Linked DNA regions of Macaca mulatta. The protein of the gene in region 1 purifies or fractionates together with the protein of each later gene. This does not show direct contact. Links are inferred from orthologs where the notes say so. Each region holds a gene or a part of one and is shown in the gene's direction. Other genes may lie near its edges.

What was found.
Region 2: the proteins of SEH1L (region 1) and NUP107 purify together in Homo sapiens (affinity purification with mass spectrometry; 5 studies listed by BioGRID and IntAct, with this or other methods). This does not show direct contact. The link is inferred for Macaca mulatta from reciprocal best matches to the Homo sapiens genes SEH1L and NUP107.
Region 3: the proteins of SEH1L (region 1) and NUP133 purify together in Homo sapiens (affinity purification with mass spectrometry; 4 studies listed by BioGRID and IntAct, with this or other methods). This does not show direct contact. The link is inferred for Macaca mulatta from reciprocal best matches to the Homo sapiens genes SEH1L and NUP133.
Region 4: the proteins of SEH1L (region 1) and NUP98 fractionate together in Homo sapiens (co-fractionation; 3 studies listed by BioGRID and IntAct, with this or other methods). This does not show direct contact. The link is inferred for Macaca mulatta from reciprocal best matches to the Homo sapiens genes SEH1L and NUP98.
Region 5: the proteins of SEH1L (region 1) and NUP85 purify together in Homo sapiens (affinity purification with western blotting; 4 studies listed by BioGRID and IntAct, with this or other methods). This does not show direct contact. The link is inferred for Macaca mulatta from reciprocal best matches to the Homo sapiens genes SEH1L and NUP85.

What each region holds. Positions count from the first base shown.
Region 1 is NC_133423.1:83,627,706-83,631,221, forward strand, and holds part of SEH1L (nucleoporin SEH1), read left to right. Parts: intron 1-2,084; coding exon 2,085-2,296; intron 2,297-3,516. UniProt on the Homo sapiens protein: Component of the Nup107-160 subcomplex of the nuclear pore complex (NPC). The Nup107-160 subcomplex is required for the assembly of a functional NPC.
Region 2 is NC_133416.1:75,809,350-75,813,420, forward strand, and holds the start of NUP107 (nuclear pore complex protein Nup107), read left to right. Parts: upstream 1-1,261; 5' UTR 1,262-1,342; coding exon 1,343-1,350; intron 1,351-3,267; coding exon 3,268-3,359; intron 3,360-3,839; coding exon 3,840-3,926; intron 3,927-4,071. UniProt on the Homo sapiens protein: Plays a role in the nuclear pore complex (NPC) assembly and/or maintenance. Required for the assembly of peripheral proteins into the NPC. May anchor NUP62 to the NPC. Involved in nephrogenesis.
Region 3 is NC_133406.1:19,576,372-19,579,887, forward strand, and holds part of NUP133 (nuclear pore complex protein Nup133), read left to right. Parts: intron 1-19; coding exon 20-244; intron 245-3,516. UniProt on the Homo sapiens protein: Involved in poly(A)+ RNA transport. Involved in nephrogenesis.
Region 4 is NC_133419.1:72,131,693-72,135,208, forward strand, and holds part of NUP98 (nuclear pore complex protein Nup98-Nup96), read left to right. Parts: intron 1-468; exon of another isoform or gene 469-1,623; intron 1,624-1,757; exon of another isoform or gene 1,758-1,903; intron 1,904-2,312; coding exon 2,313-2,424; intron 2,425-2,551; coding exon 2,552-2,769; 3' UTR 2,770-3,516. UniProt on the Homo sapiens protein: Plays a role in the nuclear pore complex (NPC) assembly and/or maintenance. NUP98 and NUP96 are involved in the bidirectional transport across the NPC. May anchor NUP153 and TPR to the NPC.
Region 5 is NC_133421.1:84,898,478-84,901,993, forward strand, and holds part of NUP85 (nuclear pore complex protein Nup85), read left to right. Parts: intron 1-1,043; coding exon 1,044-1,206; intron 1,207-3,477; coding exon 3,478-3,516. UniProt on the Homo sapiens protein: Essential component of the nuclear pore complex (NPC) that seems to be required for NPC assembly and maintenance. As part of the NPC Nup107-160 subcomplex plays a role in RNA export and in tethering NUP96/Nup98 and NUP153 to the nucleus.

The sequences.
Region 1 (3,516 bases):
CAGAGAGAGAGTTTAACCACGGCCTGCCCGTCACCGCATGGTTGCTTGGTGTTCCTGGTGGGGTGGGGTCCTCTGCTGCCCCGCTCCTGTCTGACGACCCACTGTAACACGTGCGTTGATTTTCTCAGCATCTGTGTTTGTATTATTCAGTGGGGTCTGTAGACAAATGTTTGCTAAGGTGTTATCTTTGAAGTGTATGTAATATCATCCTTTTAATATTGAGACTCTTGTTTTTTGAGACGGAGTCTTGCTGTGTCGCCCCGGCTGGAGTGAGTGGCGCGATCTCAGCTCACTGCAAGCTCCACCCTCTGGGTTCCCGCCATTCTCCTGCCTCAGCCTCCCGAGGAGCTGGGACCACCGGAGCTCACCACCACGCCCGCCTAATTGTTTTGTATTTTTTAGTAGAGACGGGGTTTCACAGTGTTGGCCAGGATGGTCTCGATCTCCTCACCTCGTGATCCGCCCGCCTCGGCATCCCAGAGTGCTGGGATTACAGGCGTGAGCCACCGTGCCTGGCCAATATTGAGACTCTTTAAGAAGCATTTTGGTAACCATAGACAGTAATCTGTTGATTTCTAAACTTTATTGACTTTTTTTTTTTAAACAGAGTCTCGCTCTGTCACCCAGGCTGGTGAGTGGCATGATCTCGGCTCACTGCAGCCTCCGCCTACCACATTCAAGCTATTCTACTGCCTTAGCGTCCCTAGTAGCTGGGGTTGCAGGCTCCTGCCATCACGTCTGGCTAATTTGTATATTTTTAGTAGAGATGGGGTTTCACCATGCTGGCCAGGCAGGTCTTGAGCTCCTGACCTCAAGTGATCACCCACCTTAGCCTCCCAAAGTGCTGGGATTACAGGCGTGAGCCACCGCACCTGGGCTTATTGATGTTTTTAGTAAGGTTTCATCTTATCTGTGTGCCAGAAGGTAACTTTTAAATGTGATGTTGGAATTTTACAGTGATCACAGAGCTTGCTTTCTACCATTCTTTTGGTCTCTGTTAAATGCCTTCACTTAAAAGTGCATGGTAGCTGCGTGCAGTGGCTCACACCTGTAATCCTAGCAACTCGGGAGGCTGAGGTGGGAGGATCGCTTGAGGCCAGGAGTTGGAGACCCATCTGTGCAACATAGTGAGACCCCCATCTCTAAAAAAAATAAGAAAAACTAGCTGGGCGTGATGGCAGGTGCCTGTCATCCCAGCTACTGGGAAGGCTGAGGCAAAAGGATCACTTGAGCCATGATCATGATACTGTATTCCAGCCTGGGTGACAGAGCAAGACCCCGTCCCTAAGAAAAAAAAAAAAGAATAATAGTGGTCAAAATGGGATTAACAGAAAATTACTCTTGAGAGAAGAAATTGCATGCCTTCCTTAGTGTTTTTTTTTTTGTTGGTTTGTTTGTTTTTTGAGACAGGGTCTTGCTCTGTTACCCAGTCTGGAGCACAGTGGTGCGATCTTGGCTCATTGCACCATCTGCCCCACTGGCTCAAGCAGTCCACCCACGTCAGCCTCCCGAATAGTTGGGGCCACAGGCGTGCACCACCACACCTGGCTATTTTTTTTTTTTTTTAATTTTTAGTAGAGATGGTGTCTTGCCATGTTGTCCAGGCTGGTCTTGAACTCCTGAGCTCAAGCAATCTGCCTGCCTCGGTTTCCCAAAGTTTTGGGATTACAGGTGTGAGCCATCATGCTCAACTCATTTACTGTTAAAGGATCTAATACCTGCAGCATGCTTTATATGACAAAACTGCTTGTCTGAAAATTCTAACATTTTCTGTTTTTTTGTGACCAGTCTGCTTAAGAGAGATTACTTATATAATAAAGGTAGGCTTTTGGAGGTAGACATTTTTTTTTTTCATTAAAGGGAGTAATTAATTATAGCTAGCTAATTTGTTAGTGATTCCCAGCTATATATGTGGTATTTTGCCATGTACTTGTAGGAAATTGTGGCCCAGACACATACCCAAGCTCGTATACCTAGTGAATGACAGAGGAGTTTCTGTGTGATTCCAGCGTCTGTGTGTCTTTCCCACTCTACCATGCTTGCTTTTTGTATGGAATTTAAATTGTTAATTTTTTTTTTTTTAGGTTAAAAGGACAACTCTGGTGGATAGCAGAACATCTGTTACTGATGTGAAGTTTGCTCCCAAGCACATGGGTCTTATGTTAGCAACCTGTTCGGCAGATGGTATAGTAAGAATATATGAGGCACCAGATGTTATGAATCTCAGCCAGTGGTCTTTGCAGCATGAGATCTCATGTAAGCTAAGCTGTAGTTGTATTTCTTGGAACCCTTCAAGGTAAGTTTACATGTTAAACCTCTGATAACATCCTAGTAAAATAAACTAGTAATTTTTTTTTTTTTTTTTTTTTTTTGTGAGACAGCTTCTCCCTCTGTCCCCCAGGCTGGAGTGCAGTGGCGCAGTCTCGGCTCACTGCAAGCTCCGCCTCCTGAGTTCTTGCCATTCTCCTACCTCAGCCTCCCGAGCAGCTGGGACTACAGGTGCTCGCCACCATGCCCGGTTAATTTTTTGTATTTTTAGTAGAGAAGGGGTTTCACCCTGTTAGCCAGGATGGTCTTGATCTCCTGACCTTGTGATCTGCCCGCCTCAGCCTCCCAAAGTGCTGTGATTACAGGCGTGAGCCACTGTGCCTGGCCCATAAACTAGTAATTTTTAAGGTAATAATTTGATAATTCTCTCAAAAGTGCTTTTTCTCAAGATATATAGATTATATGTTCTCCATTTTTCACCCAGGCATGTCACTTGTCCCTGTTTTCACTCAGCAGAGGGAACCAGCATTGTAAATATGTTCATGTAAACCTTTTGGATGTTTTCTATGCATATACGAATAACTAATGAAGTCATAAACAGACATATGCAAACACGCCCAAATATTTACTAGCACAGGTAGACACAAAACACACAGATGTTGAAACCCATACATTTGATTGATTGATTGATTGGTTGATTAAGACAGTGTTGCTCAGTTGCCCAGGCTGGAGTGCAGTGGCGCTGTCTTGGCTCACTGCAGCCTCCACCTCCTGAGTTCAAGCAATTCTCCTGCCTTAGCCTCCCAAGTAGCTAGAATTACAGGCATGCGCCACCACATCTACCTAATTTTGCATTTTTAGTAGAGACCATGTTTCACCATGTTGGCCAGACTGGTCACCTCAGGTGATCTGCCTACTTCAGCCTCCAAGAGTGCTGGGATTACAGGCGTGAGCCACTGCACCCAGCCAGAAACCCTTACATTTTCCTTCCTTGCAATTAGCTTTTTTCACTTAAAGATACATTGTGGGCATTTTTCTATATATTAATATATCTAGTTCTACCTCATTTCTTTTTAACTGCCATGTAAAGCATGATTGCATGTATATTACCATAGTTGCTTTTTATTAAACTATTTTTAAACAATTACAAGAATCCCTTGGTAAAGAAAAGAATTGAAATAATCTATAAGAATACAGAAAGAAAGGTAAAGTTCTTTTACCCCCTAAAAGCAAATGCTGTTATTAGTT
Region 2 (4,071 bases), on another chromosome or scaffold:
TCCAAAAAAAAGCAAGCAAGAAGAAGAAGAAGAAAAAAGCTCAGCACTGTCACAAGGAATATATGACAAGAAAAGCTGGCAATTTCTATATACCTGTGAAATCCAAATTGTCACTTGCCTTAAGGTATCAATGGTGTGATCCCAAAAGTCTGTCAAAACCTCTTCACTTTCCCCAGATCTTCCATGGCACCTCTGCTAAACTCAAGGCTTCAGTTAACACGCTGACTATTGTGGAACCATACATCGCATAGAGTACCTGAACCTGAAATCAATAAATGAACTGATCTACAAATTGGTTATGGCAAAACCAATAAACAAATTACCTTAACAGATAACTCTTTGATTGATAGATTTCTTGATAAATATGGCATCATCTGACTGGAGAATCTGATTCATGAGATCTATGCTGTTGAAAAACTCTTCAAGTTCCTGTGATCCTTCAAATTATCTTCTCCACGAGGGAGAATGACTACCTATTCTGTATTACTAAAAAGTACAAATGCCAGCAACAGAAAAGACCATATCAACAGGCTTATTAAACGGATAAACTGAAGCATCTAACGTTATTTTTGTAATCTGGTCAGTTAATAGCCAGTCGCTACTTTCAAACTGGAAAAAACAAAAACCGAAACAAAAATGTGACTGACTCCCTCAAGACCAAAATATACCACTTTTTGCCTAGACGGCACTTTGAAATAGAGGGCAATACCATCATGTTTTACGCTTGCCTTTCTACTTTTTAATACAGGTGAACTGTTTCTCCTTAATAGAAAAGAATACCAAGTAAAGAACAAATAGCAGTTATGGAAAACAGTTTCAAAAACTGCAGGGGGCTAGAGAACAAAGGACTGAGTGTAGGGAGAGAGATAAGAGATTCCCGAGGTGTGGGGCAGAGCCCACGCATCTGAATTCCAAGAACAGGCGCTTTCTGACAGAGAATACCAGGAAATGACTTCACGTCTTTCCAGACTATCAACATGCTTCATTTTTCCCAGTAGGAGAACCCAGGGCCTGTTCCACGCCCACAGACGTTGGTCAGGCAAAGCGGCCGCAAGGCGTCTGGGCTAAACGCAACCAGGTCCCGCCCCCGGCCCTGTCTGGTCCAGCCAGGCACACATTGGCAAGCTTTTGCGCCTGCGCCCACCGGGCCGGCACCTGTAGGCTGAAGTCGCCCATGCGCTAGATGGGAACGTCGTTTCTTCTCCCCTACCCCTTTTCTGTGGGGCTATTTTAGGGAGAGACTGCTTCCGGGTCGAAGGGCTTGCTTCCGGAGAGCGGGAAGGGTAAAACGCGGTAGCTAAACTGGAGTCGACATTTATTCTGTGTGGAAAAGGCTTTAGCCATGGACAGGTCAGTTCTGATGATGGCAGCTGAACCCAAAGCCTTGCCCCTCTCGCCTGTTGGCGAAACGAAATAGGTGAAACTAGACTCCCAGAAGAAGCCAAGGAGGTCCCGGGTGCTTCCCCTAAGACTCCTTCCCCATGCCGGGAAATTTGGCTACAAATGGGGAAAGGCCGCTTGGCCTGCGTCGGGTGGGGTACGGATCATAATGGTCCCCTACATTCCCACTACGTTCTGCGATCTATTCGGCGCTTTGGGGCAGCAACACTGATCGCTCCTGGGGTGGGCGGGGTAGGTAGCCCGGCGTTCGAAATGCTAAGTGACCAGCCTGTGATCACAAAGCCAGTCAGTGAAGATACTGGGATCTCAGCTCAGACTTTCTGATTACAAGTGCTAGCATCAGATACTGAGTTCCCTCTGTGATCTGGGTACTGTGCTAGCCGCCTGCAACAAAGATCAGTTATTCAAGATCCTTCACCTCGGGGAATTAGTTGTGTAGTGGAGACAACCAAGCGGTATAAAGTGATAAGTGTTTGGGGGCGATTAAGTCTCCCTGTCACTCTATCAGAAAGACCTCTCAAAGACGGTAACTTTCTAGCTGGTCTTTGCATAATAATAGTACATTATTCGTACTCCAAACATTGAGTACCTACTATATGACTGCCATTGTTGGCTTTGAATATATATTATCAGTTTATTTAATCTTCAGAACAAGAGCAATCCTATGAGGATAGGTACTGTTATCCCTTTTTCATGTATAATACTGAGACTAAAAGAGGTTAAGGAATTTGCTGAAAGTTAGGAAGCTAATAAATACAAGAACCAAATTGCCAACCTGCCTCTGTGTGTCTCCAGCCTACCTGAGGCTCTTTGAGGAGTAATTAGTTGTTGACCAGGTGCCCAAGGGGGCAAATGTAGGTCTTTGTAAAAGAAACATATTCAAAGGTGCTAGTATATGAAAAACAAAAGTACATGTAGCTCAGTGGTCACATGCAGTATATGTTTAGAGTGATGTTTGTGGCTGAATAGAAGACTGAACGCCTAAACTGGGGTCACATTGTAAATATCATTTTAGGAAATTTGCACTTCTATAAACCAGAGAGAGCTATCTGTAGGTTTTTTGTTTGTTTTGTTTTTTAATTTTAATTATTAAACATTTAAAATTTTTTCTATGGGGTTGTTTCCCATACTTTCCTGCTGAAGGAATATCTGAAGGTTTTAAGTGGAGGAAAAGCATATTAGATTCTTGTCTTAAACACAGGCCTTTTAGTCCACACAATTTAGTTTCTAGACCTTTGAGTGAAACTGACAGAGTGTTGTGATGGGACAGGAGACCTCTTTGGTTGAAATAACTTGAAGGGTCATTTTGCTACAATTTACCAGAATTTTTTTACTTACTCTTCTATCTCACAAGCTCTGTTTGTTGTTGTGGTTGTATCTCACAAGCTCTGGTTGTTGTTGTTGTCTGGTGGTGGTTGTTGTCTGGTTGTTGTTGTTTGTTTTTTAATAGTACCCATGGTTTAAAGCATTTTGGATTCTGCAGAAAATCTTTGAAGAGAGAATTCCTGCAATTAGGTAACTTCTCAATCCAACCAGGGAAATAAGATTCACTTTTATGAAGCAATTACCTAAAACAGTGTTATAATATAGATTCCAAGTGTTGAAATAATTCTTTAGGAGAAAATAACATAGTGAGTACTAGAAAGTCAGAGAAATCTTTGTGCAGGTAACATTTGAGTAAGACTTTGAAGAATAAGCAGGATTTGGAGCCACGAGTGCATTCTCAGCAAAAGATCCAAGACTTGGCTACTGGAATGACCTATATCTTAACTTACTCAGGGTCCTTTACTCCAGCTGTGATGATAAAATTCTTTACAAATGCTATATTCTCGTTTCACTTATATAAGCTTGATTATACTACTTTAGGAGTGGCTTTGGAGATATATCATCCCCTGTAATCCGGGAGGCAGAGGTGACACGGACTGCACGGAAACAGAGTGCTCAAAAAAGAGTTTTAAGTATCCTTTGCGATTTAAGCATCATTATAAAAATTGTAACATGTTTGGAATCAGTGTTATAGAATTTTCTTTTTATAAGAGTATTAAATGTTAGCTATAATAAAATCCTGTAGAAATTTTTTTCACTCCACAGAGCTGTCATTAGGTAAATATAATGCAAAAATTTAATAAGATTATATTTCCTTAAAAATAAAGATATTTCTTACTGCTGACTATCATATTGTGGTTAGCTTCTGCTGAGATTTTTATTATTTGAAAACTGACTAAAAACATTTAGTTCAGTGTGTAGTTATCTAAGACTGACGTCTGAGAATTTAAATGGCAGAAGGAATGGGTTATTTACCCTTTGCATTGAAAAATGGTAGCCGTAAAATACCTTGTTCTTGAAAAATGTATTCACATAATTTGTATAGTAAAAAGATGGTTAATTCTCATTTTAATCTTTTCTACATGGAAAACTTTTCTTAACTCATTGTACAGTTCAGGCATCTCAAGATGAAAGTTTCGGTAATACTACACCAAGAAACCAGGTTATCCCTCGAACTCCTAGCTCATTTCGACAGCCTTGTAAGACTTTTTTGCTTTTAAAGCATTTAATAATAATGATAATTATAATAGCAACTAACATTTATTGTAACATGATAAGTATAGTATTTGGTTACAATATCAATAAACACTAATAATAATGATTGCAGTTATTATTTGTTTGAAC
Region 3 (3,516 bases), on another chromosome or scaffold:
ATGTTTGCCTTTTTGCAAGGTTGGCTTATTTGGACGTCTAGGCAGTTTTCCAGTTAGAGGGACACCGATGGCCACTCGATTGTTGCTCTGTGAGCATGCCGAAAAGCTGTCAGCCACCATTGTTCTCAAGAACCACCACTCCCGGCTTTCTGATCTCGTCAACACGGCCATATTGATTGCTTTGAACAAGAGGGAGTATGAAATCCCATCCAACCTGACTCCTGCAGATGTCTTTTTCAGGGAGGTATGATGAGTCCTCTTTCATGTGGCTTTGTAGAACTGTGCCATTTAGTGATCATGCCCTAGGCAGGAAAGAGGGTGAGGACAAGTTAAATCACAAAAGATCTCACTGAAATGTTAAATTGGACCCCAGATTTTCTGGCTAAAGTATCACTCAGAAGTATCATTTACCAGTTACCTATAAAGAAGAGCTTGCAAAGTTGACTGAGAAGTGCTCCCTGTTGACTTTTTTTCCCGTTAGTAACTATCTCCAAGTACCTATTTGCTTTGGGTGCTGATCTTCCCTTTTTTTTTTTTTTTTTTTTTTTTGAGATAGAGTCTCACTCGGTTGCCCAGGTACCTCCACCTCCCGGGTTCCAGCGATTCTCCTACCTCAGCCTCCTGAGTAGCTGGGATTACAGGTGCCAGCCACCACGCCTGGCTAATTTTCATATTTTTAGTAGAGGTGGGGTTTCGCCATGTTGGTCAAGGCTGATATTGAACTCTGACCTCAGGTGATCCACCCCTTCAGCCTCCCAAAGTAATGGGATTACAGGTGTGAGCCACTGCGTCCATCCTGATCTTCTCCTTACTTTGTCTCTCGATCTACTGTTTTTTTTTTTTGAGACTGAGTCTCGCTCTGTTGCCAGGCTGGAGTGCAATGGTGCAATGTCGGCTCACTGCAACCTGTGCCTCCCGGCTTCAAGCAATTCTCCTGCCTCAGCCTCTCAAGTAGCTGGGACTACAGGCCTGTGCCACCACACCCAGCTAATTTTTGTATTTTTAGTAGAGACCCTGTTTCACCCTGTTGACCAGGCAGATCTACCCTTGACTGTGCCACAGCCAAGTAGCCTTCCTGAGTGGGCTCCCTTGCCCTCCCACTTCTGCCAGGTCAGATGAATGGGAGGCCCTGCCAGAAGGCCGGAAGTTGTAGTAGTTATTCCCCCAGCTTTCTTCCTTGCCTGTGCCCACTTTACATTGGCTGTGCCCCTCTGTCAGGGACCATGCCTCCTGTCCAACTGCTTTCTCTTGTTTCCAGTAGCTGCCCCTCCTCTTGCCTCTTCAGGCCGGAGGTTGATAATGCCTCATCCTAGGGTGCTGCCCCATCCCCTTTTGGACCCCTTAATCTTGTCCACACCTTTGCAAACAGTCCCTTCACTGAACTCCTCAGCTACCTCCTAGGATCCTGTTGCTACACCTTACTTGTAAAATCAGATTTATTTTCAGAGAAAAAGTAAAGTCTGCTACAAACTTCAAAGACAGAAATGGTTAAGATGCTGGTCAGCCAGTGACAGCTGGACATTGTGGAAATAGTGGCACAGTCCTCACGGTTTTGTGAAGCTTCACAGCCTATTGAGGCAGCAGGGTAGACTTCGCTGTCTCCCTTTAAAGGTGTGACATTAGGGCTTAGACCTATTGTCTTAACTGAGACTGCAGAATGATCTAGTTTTAGAAACAGTGCCAACTCTTCCCTCAGCTCAGTGAAATTTGGAATTCCTTATGCATTTGAGGAGCTTCAAACTCTATTTGGTGTCTCAGATTTTGCTTCCTTCCTCCTATAGCCTAACTGTATTCTAGCATGTAACACATTATGCCAACAGGTCTCTTTTTCTTAATGTTTGATGTACTGTAACCTAAGTTCAGTCTTCTGTTGATTCCATAAATGCGTTTAGTGTGAATTCTTTGTTTTTATACGTTTGTGTTAGTAGGGAATGGAAGGAAAAGTGCTTTGTTATGTTTTGTTTTTAATCTAGACAGTATGCCAGAAATCTGAAAGAAAAACAAATCACCTCAAGTTTCATGATCTAACAAATCAAATTGTTGTCTTTTTTGTGTCCTTTTTGGTGTTTATTCATACATAGTTTTATATGATAAGGCAATGAATTTTTAAAAATTAATGACAGACTGCTTGTAAGAACTGAGCAAGAGCCTGGTTTATTATTCTGCATTTGTATCAAAGGGCAAAGTGTAATTGTCAATGCAGTGTATGTACATGTTTCAGTTAGCTGAATTATTAGAGAAGGGTCTGGAAATTATCAGTTGGATACATAATATAGAATAGTATTTTAGGACTATGATACAGCAAAACTAAAAGTGTGATTGGCTCCTCAAAAGAATGTTCCATATGAAAAATGGTAATGTTTAGGACTGTTCACGTCACTATTTATCTTCATTTCTCATGATGTTCATTGGTCTTCAGCTTCTCTGGGGTGTAGTTCTAAAGGTTTTCTCCCCTGTCATAATCATCATGAAAAGAGAATATAATAGCTATGTACATATAGTAGTTTTTCTTTTTACCTGTCCTTTCCCTTGGGGGTGACAAAGTACCTTTCTAAGGAGTATTTGTGTTTTGGGATGAGCTGGTTAACCAAAATCAATCTCTGATTGGTGGGCCATATAGAAAAATATTTTGACTTGGCAGCCCTGATAGAAAGTAAAACAATACAGAGCCTGCCTGAGGGTGCACTCTCCACTTTGCCTCTGTCTCCAGTTTGGGAAGGCCTTGTACCTCCCAGAGCTCTGGAAAAGCAGAGCTTACTGCTTAAGAAACAGACTATGTTGACACGGCATATGAGCAATATTTGAAATCACTGAATATATACATGATAAGATAATTTAACAAGTGTTTTGGCATTTTATGCACTTTTATTTTCTGTCTTTTATGCTTTCCTTTTTTTTTTTTTTTTTTTTTTTTGGAGACATAGTCTCGTTCTGTCACCAGGCTGGAGTGCAGCGGCACAATCTCTGCTCACTGCAACCTCCGCCTTGGTTCAAGCAATTCTCCTGCCTCAGCCTCTCAAGTAGCTGGGACTCCAGGTGTGTGCCACCACGCCCAGCTAATTTTTGCATTTTTAGTGGAGACAGGGTTTCACCGTGTTTGCCAGGATGGTCTTGATCTCTTGACCTCGTTATCTGCCCACCTCCAAAGTGCTGGGATTGCGGGCATGAGCCACCGCGCCTGTCCATTATATAGGCTTTCATTGTGTTTTTCATGTTAACAATGTAAAATATTCTTATGCTTAATCTTACAAATTAAATATGCTGAAGATTTCTTGCCTGGGCTGTTAGAATGCCTTTGGCTAACATCAGAAATGCAAAAGGAAGAACAAGGTTTGCAAAAGGGAGGGATTTTGTTTGGGTCATGTTTTATCTGTGACTGTGTGTCTTGTTCCTTCAGCCAGTTTGTGAGGTCCTTGAGGGCAGCTGATCTGATTTTTCTTTCCTATTATCTCCATTGCTATGCAAACTCTAATAACGGGGGCAAGCTCAAATGCAGACTTGAACTTGAAACAGGAG
Region 4 (3,516 bases), on another chromosome or scaffold:
CTCCTTTGTCTCCATCTGAATGAGAAAGGTGAGTGGGGTAGACAGTAGTACAAATTACAGCTCATATCTGACAGATTTTCACAAAGATTAAACCAAATCTACATAAAGTGTTTAACGTAGTACCTTTCATGTACTAAATGCTTTTTTTTTTTTTTTTTTTTGAGGCAGAGTTTTTTTTTTTTTTTTTTTTTTTGAGACGGAGTCTCGCTCTGCTGCCCAGGCTGGAATGCAGTGGCCGGATCTCAGCTCACTGCAAGCTCCGCCTCCCGGGTTCACGCCATTCTCCTGCCTCAGCCTCCCGAGTAGCTGGGACTACAGGCGCCTGCCACCTCGCCCGGCTAGTTTTTTGTATTTTTTTTTTAGTAGAGACGGGCTTTCACCGTGTCAGCCAGGATGGTCTCGATCTCCTGACCTTGTGATCCGCCCGTCTCGGCCTCCCAAAGTGCTGGGATTACAGGCTTGAGCCACCGCGCCCGGCTGAGGCAGAGTTTTGCTCTGTCACCCAGGCTGGAGGGCAGTGGCACAATCTCAGCTCACTGCATCGTTCATCTCCCAGCTTCAAACAATTCTGCCTCAGCCTCCCCAGTAGCTGGGATTACAGGCTACAGGCGTGTGCCACCATGCCCAGCCTTTTTTTTTTTTTTTTTTAGTAGAGACAGGGTTTCACCATGTTGGCCAGTCTGGTCTCAAACTCCTGACCTTAGCCTCTACTAAATGCTTAATAATTTTTACCTATTATTATCCTCATCAAAGTTCCAACTCCTAGTACAGCGCCTGACACATAATAGGCATAATTCAATGTTTGCTGTACTTTTCATGTGAATCAAGAGCATCATTTCTAAATAATCATTTGAAGAAACCACTTTCTCATTGAATATTGAGTAATTCACACAACTATTATGGAGAACTCACTGTGTGCCAAGCACTGTAGTGGGTTTGGGGAATATAAAAGTAAACAGTATGTGTTCTGCCCTTACCAAAATAATGATTTCGTGGGGGAGATATATACAAGTAAAGCAGCAGTTACTGTAGCTTCATAAGTATAGGGGTTAAGCAAAGAGAACTATCAATGTGCCAGCACATAGCTGGATGTGGTGGTGCGTGACTGTAATCCTAGCACTTTGGGAGGCTGAGGCAGGAGGGTTGCTTGAGACCAGCCTGAGCAACATAGCGAGAGCCCCCCTTTAAAAAAAAAAAAGCCTGTGTTACATAAAACCTCTCTAGTATTGGTTTGTTCTGCTTTTCCCCCTTACCCCACATGTCACCATGTAAATCTCCTTTGAATTCTCACCTTTGGGAGTTTTAGCTGTCTTCTCTTTGCCTGGAAAGCTGAGCTCTCTCCTTGTAATTCAGGTCTCGACTTAAATATGACCTCCTTGAAGAAGCCTCTCTTGGTCCTCCAGTCTCAAGTAGCTATCCAGTTTCTCTCTGCAACATCCACCTGTTTAAATTATCTACATGGCTTGTGATTTTTCAGGATGTATTACTGTTTTATGTTTTCTTATTTAGTTTCTGTCAGTTTCATGAGAGCAAATAATTTGTCTTGCTCTTGATCCTCCTGCTGCCTGCACCCAGCTTTTTTGGTGTTTTAGAAAAGGCTAGGCCAGGCGCGGTGGCTCAAGCCTGTAATCCCAGCACTTTGGGAGGCCGAGACGGGCGGATCACGAGGTCAGGAGATCGAGACCATCCTGGCTAACACAGTGAAACCCCGTCTCTACTAAAAATACAAAAACTTAGCCGGGCGAGGTGGCAGGCGCCTGTAGTCCCAGCTACTTGGGAGGCTGAGGCAGGAGAATGGCGTGAACCCGGGAGGCAGAGCTTGCAGTGAGCTGAGATCCCGCCACTGCACTCCAGCCTGGGTGACAGAGCGAGACTCCGTCTCAAAAAAAAAAAAAATAGAAAAGGCTATAAACTTGGAGTCAGGGGACCTAAATTAAATGTTGGTTCAGGCTGCATTTTTTACTTCCTGTGTGCTCTTAAGAAGTCATACCATCTCTCTGAACCCAGTTTATCTTGATTTTTGGTGCTGTATTATTAAAGCTTGCTGTATTATTAAAGCTTGCTGTATCTTTCGGGATCTCAAGACTTTCCTAGTCCAAGGCTGTGTACACTATGTTACCTTCCTCTTGTCTGTTACTGCATAATTAGTGCCTTGTCCTCCACTAGATGGTGGTGGCTTGACCCTGTGTCATCTTCTTGGATTTTCCCCTCCCTCACCTCACTGTTGTTTCAAGGTTTTGTATAGAGTCTATAGGTGGTGTTGAGTGATAGGAACTCCCCTTGGATTAATTGACTTCTCTGCTTCTTTGTAGGTGGATTGCTCAGGTTATGACCTGGAGCAGTTACACATCAAAGTGACTTCACTGTGCAGTCGCATAGAGCAGATTCAGTGTTACAATGCTAAAGATCGCCTAGCTCAGTCAGGTAAGCCTCTAATCTCCTCACTTTTTCTGCCTTCTTGCTTCCTGTTTTTATCTTACACCCCACCCTCAGTGCCTGCCACCGTTCTCTAGACCCATGCTCAGTGCTTAACTCTAGTTTTTCTCTCTAGACATGGCCAAACGTGTAGCCAACCTGCTGCGGGTGGTGCTGAGTCTGCATCATGCTCCTGATAGAACCTCCGACTCAACACCAGACCCTCAGCGAGTCCCTTTGCGCCTCTTGGCTCCCCACATTGGCCGGCTCCCCATGCCTGAGGACTATGCCATGGACGAACTGCGCAGCCTTACCCAGTCCTATCTGCGAGAACTCGCTGTTGGGAGCCTGTGAGCCCCAGACTCTTTGCATCACACTCACATGCCCGTTCACACTCACCACACAGAGGTTCCCTGCCTTGTTTGGATTGGCACTGTTTGCCATTCTCTGGGTTGGCTATGGCATCTGCCCTCCTTCCCTGCTGCCACAAGCAGCATCCTCCAGTTGTTCAGGGCTTTTCTTAATACTAAACATAGCATAAGGGCTTCTGGAACCCAGAAGAGGAGACAATTCTCTTTTTACCATCCTCAAGACCAGTGTTTTTCCTTTTAATAAATGGTCAATAAAGCTCCTTTGGCAGAATCCCCCAAAGAACCAGGGAATCCTTTTTCACCCCTAGCCATTCTGGATCTTGTGACCCTCCATGCCAACCAGCTACCCTACTCCTACCCTGGCCCTTTTATGCTAGGACTCCTTAGGAGGAGTGAGACAGGTAGTAATGGATCCTTAACAGGTGAACTATCCACAGAAGGAAGAGGGATCCGTCTCTTAAGTAATTGGTTAGTTAACACTGAATTTTGGAGGCAGAGGAGGGTTGGCCTGAGTTAGGAAACAGAATGGGATCTTTCTGACACACTTAGGGCAGAAGTGAATGCCTGCCATGGAGGGATTGATCTTCAGAGCTTCTTTTGTTCCTGCCTTTAGTGTTCCATGAACACCATACCTTTGCTACTACTATGTGCAGGAGCCCTTGGTCATATGTGACATGTCTATGGGAAGCTCCCAGAATTTGGTTTGGTCCCTGGTTTTCAGTCATCTTGC
Region 5 (3,516 bases), on another chromosome or scaffold:
ACCTCCTGGGCTCAAGTGATCCTCCACCTCAGTCTTCCTGGTAGCTGAGACTACAGGTCACCGTGCCCCCATACCCAGCTAATTTTTTTTTTTTTTTTTGTAGAGATGGGAGTCTCGTTTTGTTGCCTAGGCTGGTCTCACACTTCTGACCTCGAGTGATCCTGCTGCATTTTGGCATTTTTATTTTTGAAATGTTAGCTATTTTAGATTTTCATTGATTTTTGAGATCTTGAAGATGTTGAATCCTGGAAAAAAATTAACAGTAGTTTTCATGAAAAATTTTCTTCATATTTAAAATGTCAAGCTTTTTATCTGTTTTTCTTTGTCCAAAGTGACCAAATTCCTCAGTAGCTTCCTTATTGTGAACCTTGCAGATGCTTGGCCATCACTTTTGTGTCCACAGCATGGATTCAGCTGAATAATAGTTCTGTAGGCTGAGCTAGCATCCAAAGCACAGATGGAGCTGGAGAGTGACATAGCTTGTCCTTGGCTTGATTTTCTAAGTTCCATCAGCTATTGGATAGGATGTGAATCTTTTTCTTTTCCTGATACAGTCTCCCTCCAGTAGCAGGATAAAACTGGAATCTTGACATTTGATTTGTTTTCTTTCTTTCCCTTCCTTCCGTCCGTCCGTCCGTCCGTCCGTCCGTCCGTCCGTCCGTCCATCCATCCATCCTTCCTAGATGGAGTCTCACTCTGTCCAGGCTGGAATGCAGTGGTGCGATCTTGGCTCACTGCCACCTCTGCCTCCCCGGTTAAAGCAATTCTCCTGCCTCAGTCTCCTGAGTAGCTGGGAATGAAGGCCCTCGCCACCACACCCAGCTAATTTTTGTATTTTTAGTAGAGACAGGGTTTTGCTATGTTGGCCAGCCTGGTCTCGAGCTCCTGACCTCGTGATCCGCCTGCCTTGGCCTCCCAGAGTGCTGGGATTATAGGCATGTGCCACCGTGCCCGGCCACAAAACATTTTTTTTAGAGTAGATTGACTTTTGGGGATGATCGTAATAGATGTTAATTTTTTTTTTTTTTTCTGTTTTGTTTCAGAAAAATCAGAGATGGTGCCAAGTTGCCCCTTTATCTATATCATCCGTAAGGATGTAGATGTTTACTCTCAAATCTTGAGAAAACTCTTCAATGAATCCCATGGAATCTTTTTGGGCCTCCAGAGAATTGATGAAGAGTTGACTGGAAAATCCAGAAAATCTCAGTAAGTTGGTTGCTGTTTGGTGTTGAAGCCCACTGTACACTGTGGAAAGCCAAATGAAGTACATTGGTGTCTTTTTGTGTGTTTTAAGGGTTGCGTAAAGAAATAAGAGACTCCTGGTTCTAGTTGAGGCATTAGTACTGGACAATGTACATTAGCAGTGATGGGAAGACTTAGCAGGAATATGCAAATGCTGTTGATTGGCTGGCTTGACAAGCTTTATTTATAGTCCTATTTTACTTACCCTCTAAAGAAGAAAATTTAGGCCACACAAGCATGTGAGAGTCATTGAATGAGGTCACATTGTTGGGAGATTTGAAAATTAATATAACAGTTTTGTCTCTAAAAATTATGGTTGAGACATTATCTGACAACAGACCAGAAAACTCTTGTAGTATTTATAGATTAGGATTTTCGTGAATTGTAGTTCATAACTTCATCATTATCAGAGTAGTACTTGTAAATTGTAGACTTTTGGGACCCACCGCAGATCATCAAAATCAAAATCTCTGGTTGGATCTTAAAATCTCCAGCACACTGGAGTTTAAGAACTCCTGTGTTAGACTTTTGTCAGCATCCCTTCACATGGCTAGGGCATGGGCAGTGTTGGTATATTACTTCTTTGATAAGCTTTTCACAAATGAATCATTCTGGACAAGACCCAGGTCAACTTCTGTGTGAGTGTGTGTGAGAGTGATTATTGGTTTTTTTTCTGTGTTTTTCAAGACAGAGTTTCACATTGTCGCCCAGGCTAGAGTGCAGTGGCGCGATCTCTGCTCACTGCAAGCTCCGCCTCCTGGGTTCAAGCCATTCTCCTGCCTCAGCCTCCTGAGTAGCTGGGGCTATAGGTCCCCGCCACCACGCCTGGCTAATTTTTTGTATTTTCAGTAGAGATGGGGTTTCACCGTGTTAGCCATGATGGTCTCCATATCCTGACCTCGTGATCCACCCGTCTTGGCCTCCCAAAGTGATGGGATTACAGGCTTGAGCCACCGCGCCCGGCCTTTTTTGTTGTTGTTGTTGAGACGAAGTCTTGCTCAGTCACCCAGGCTGGAGTGCGGTGGCGCGATCTCGGCTCACTGCAAGCTCTGCCTCCCGGGTTCACGCCATTCTCCTGCCTCAGCCTCCCGAGCAGCTGGGACTACAGGTGCCCGTCACTACTCCTGGCTAATTTTTTTGTATTTTTAGTAGAGACGGGGTTTTACCATGTTAGCCAGGATGGTCTTGATCTCCTGACCTCGTGATCTGCCCATCTTGGCCTCCCAAAGTGTTGGGATTATAGGCGTGAGCCACCGCGCCTGGCCGTGCCCTGTTTTTTTTGACTCTGTTACCTGGGCTGGAGTGCAGTGGCAATCTCGGCCCACTGCAGCCTCTGCCTCCTGGGTTCAAGCCATTCTCCTGCCTCAGCCTCCCGAATAGCTGGGATTACAGGTGCGTGCCACCACGCCTGGCTAATTTTTGCATTTTTAGTAGAGAGGGTTTCATCATGTTGGCCAGGCCGGTCTTGAACTCCTGACCTCAAGTGATCTGCCCACTTCGGCCTCCCAAAGTGCTGGGATTATAGGCGTGAGCCACTGCACCTGGCCTGATTATTGGTTTTAAGGGACTCTGGTGGGTAATATTGGTGAGTTTGAGAAATCTATTGTCACTTCTAGGAAAAAACATGTCAAAAGTCCTGTAATTCCTTGATGGCAGGGGACCCTGTCTTATTTTTTATTTTTTATTTTTTTTTGAGATGGAGTCTCGCTCTGTCGCCCAGGTTGGAGTGCAATGACATGATCTTGGCTCACTGCAATCTCCGCCTCCCGAGTTCAAGAGATTCTCCTACCTCAGCCTCCCGAGTAGCTGGGATTTTTGTATTTTTAGTAGAGACTAAGTTTCACCAGGTTGGCCAGGCTGGTCTCAAACACCTGACCTCAGGTGGTCTGCCCACTTTCACCTCCCAAAGTGCTGGGATTACAGACCTGAGCCACTGGGCTCGGCCATTAAATAACTTTATGTATCTATTTTTTTGAGACAAGGTCTGACTAGTAGATTTCATCTGCAACAATTAATGTCAGTATGGGTTTATGGATATTAACTTTAGCCCATGGGTTGTTTTGTGGCGTTTTATTTTGTTGCCCAAGTTGTTCCAGCTTCAGAAGGTTACGAGCTCCTTCACAATGGCTCCCCTCTTTCTTTCAGCAAATTTCTACATTTATTTGAGTGTTTTCTTCTTTTCTAGCACTACAAGATGTTCCAGGCTCATCTTGTGTGTTATTTCATTTTTTATAGATTGGTTCGAGTGAGTAAAAACTACCGATCAGTCATAAG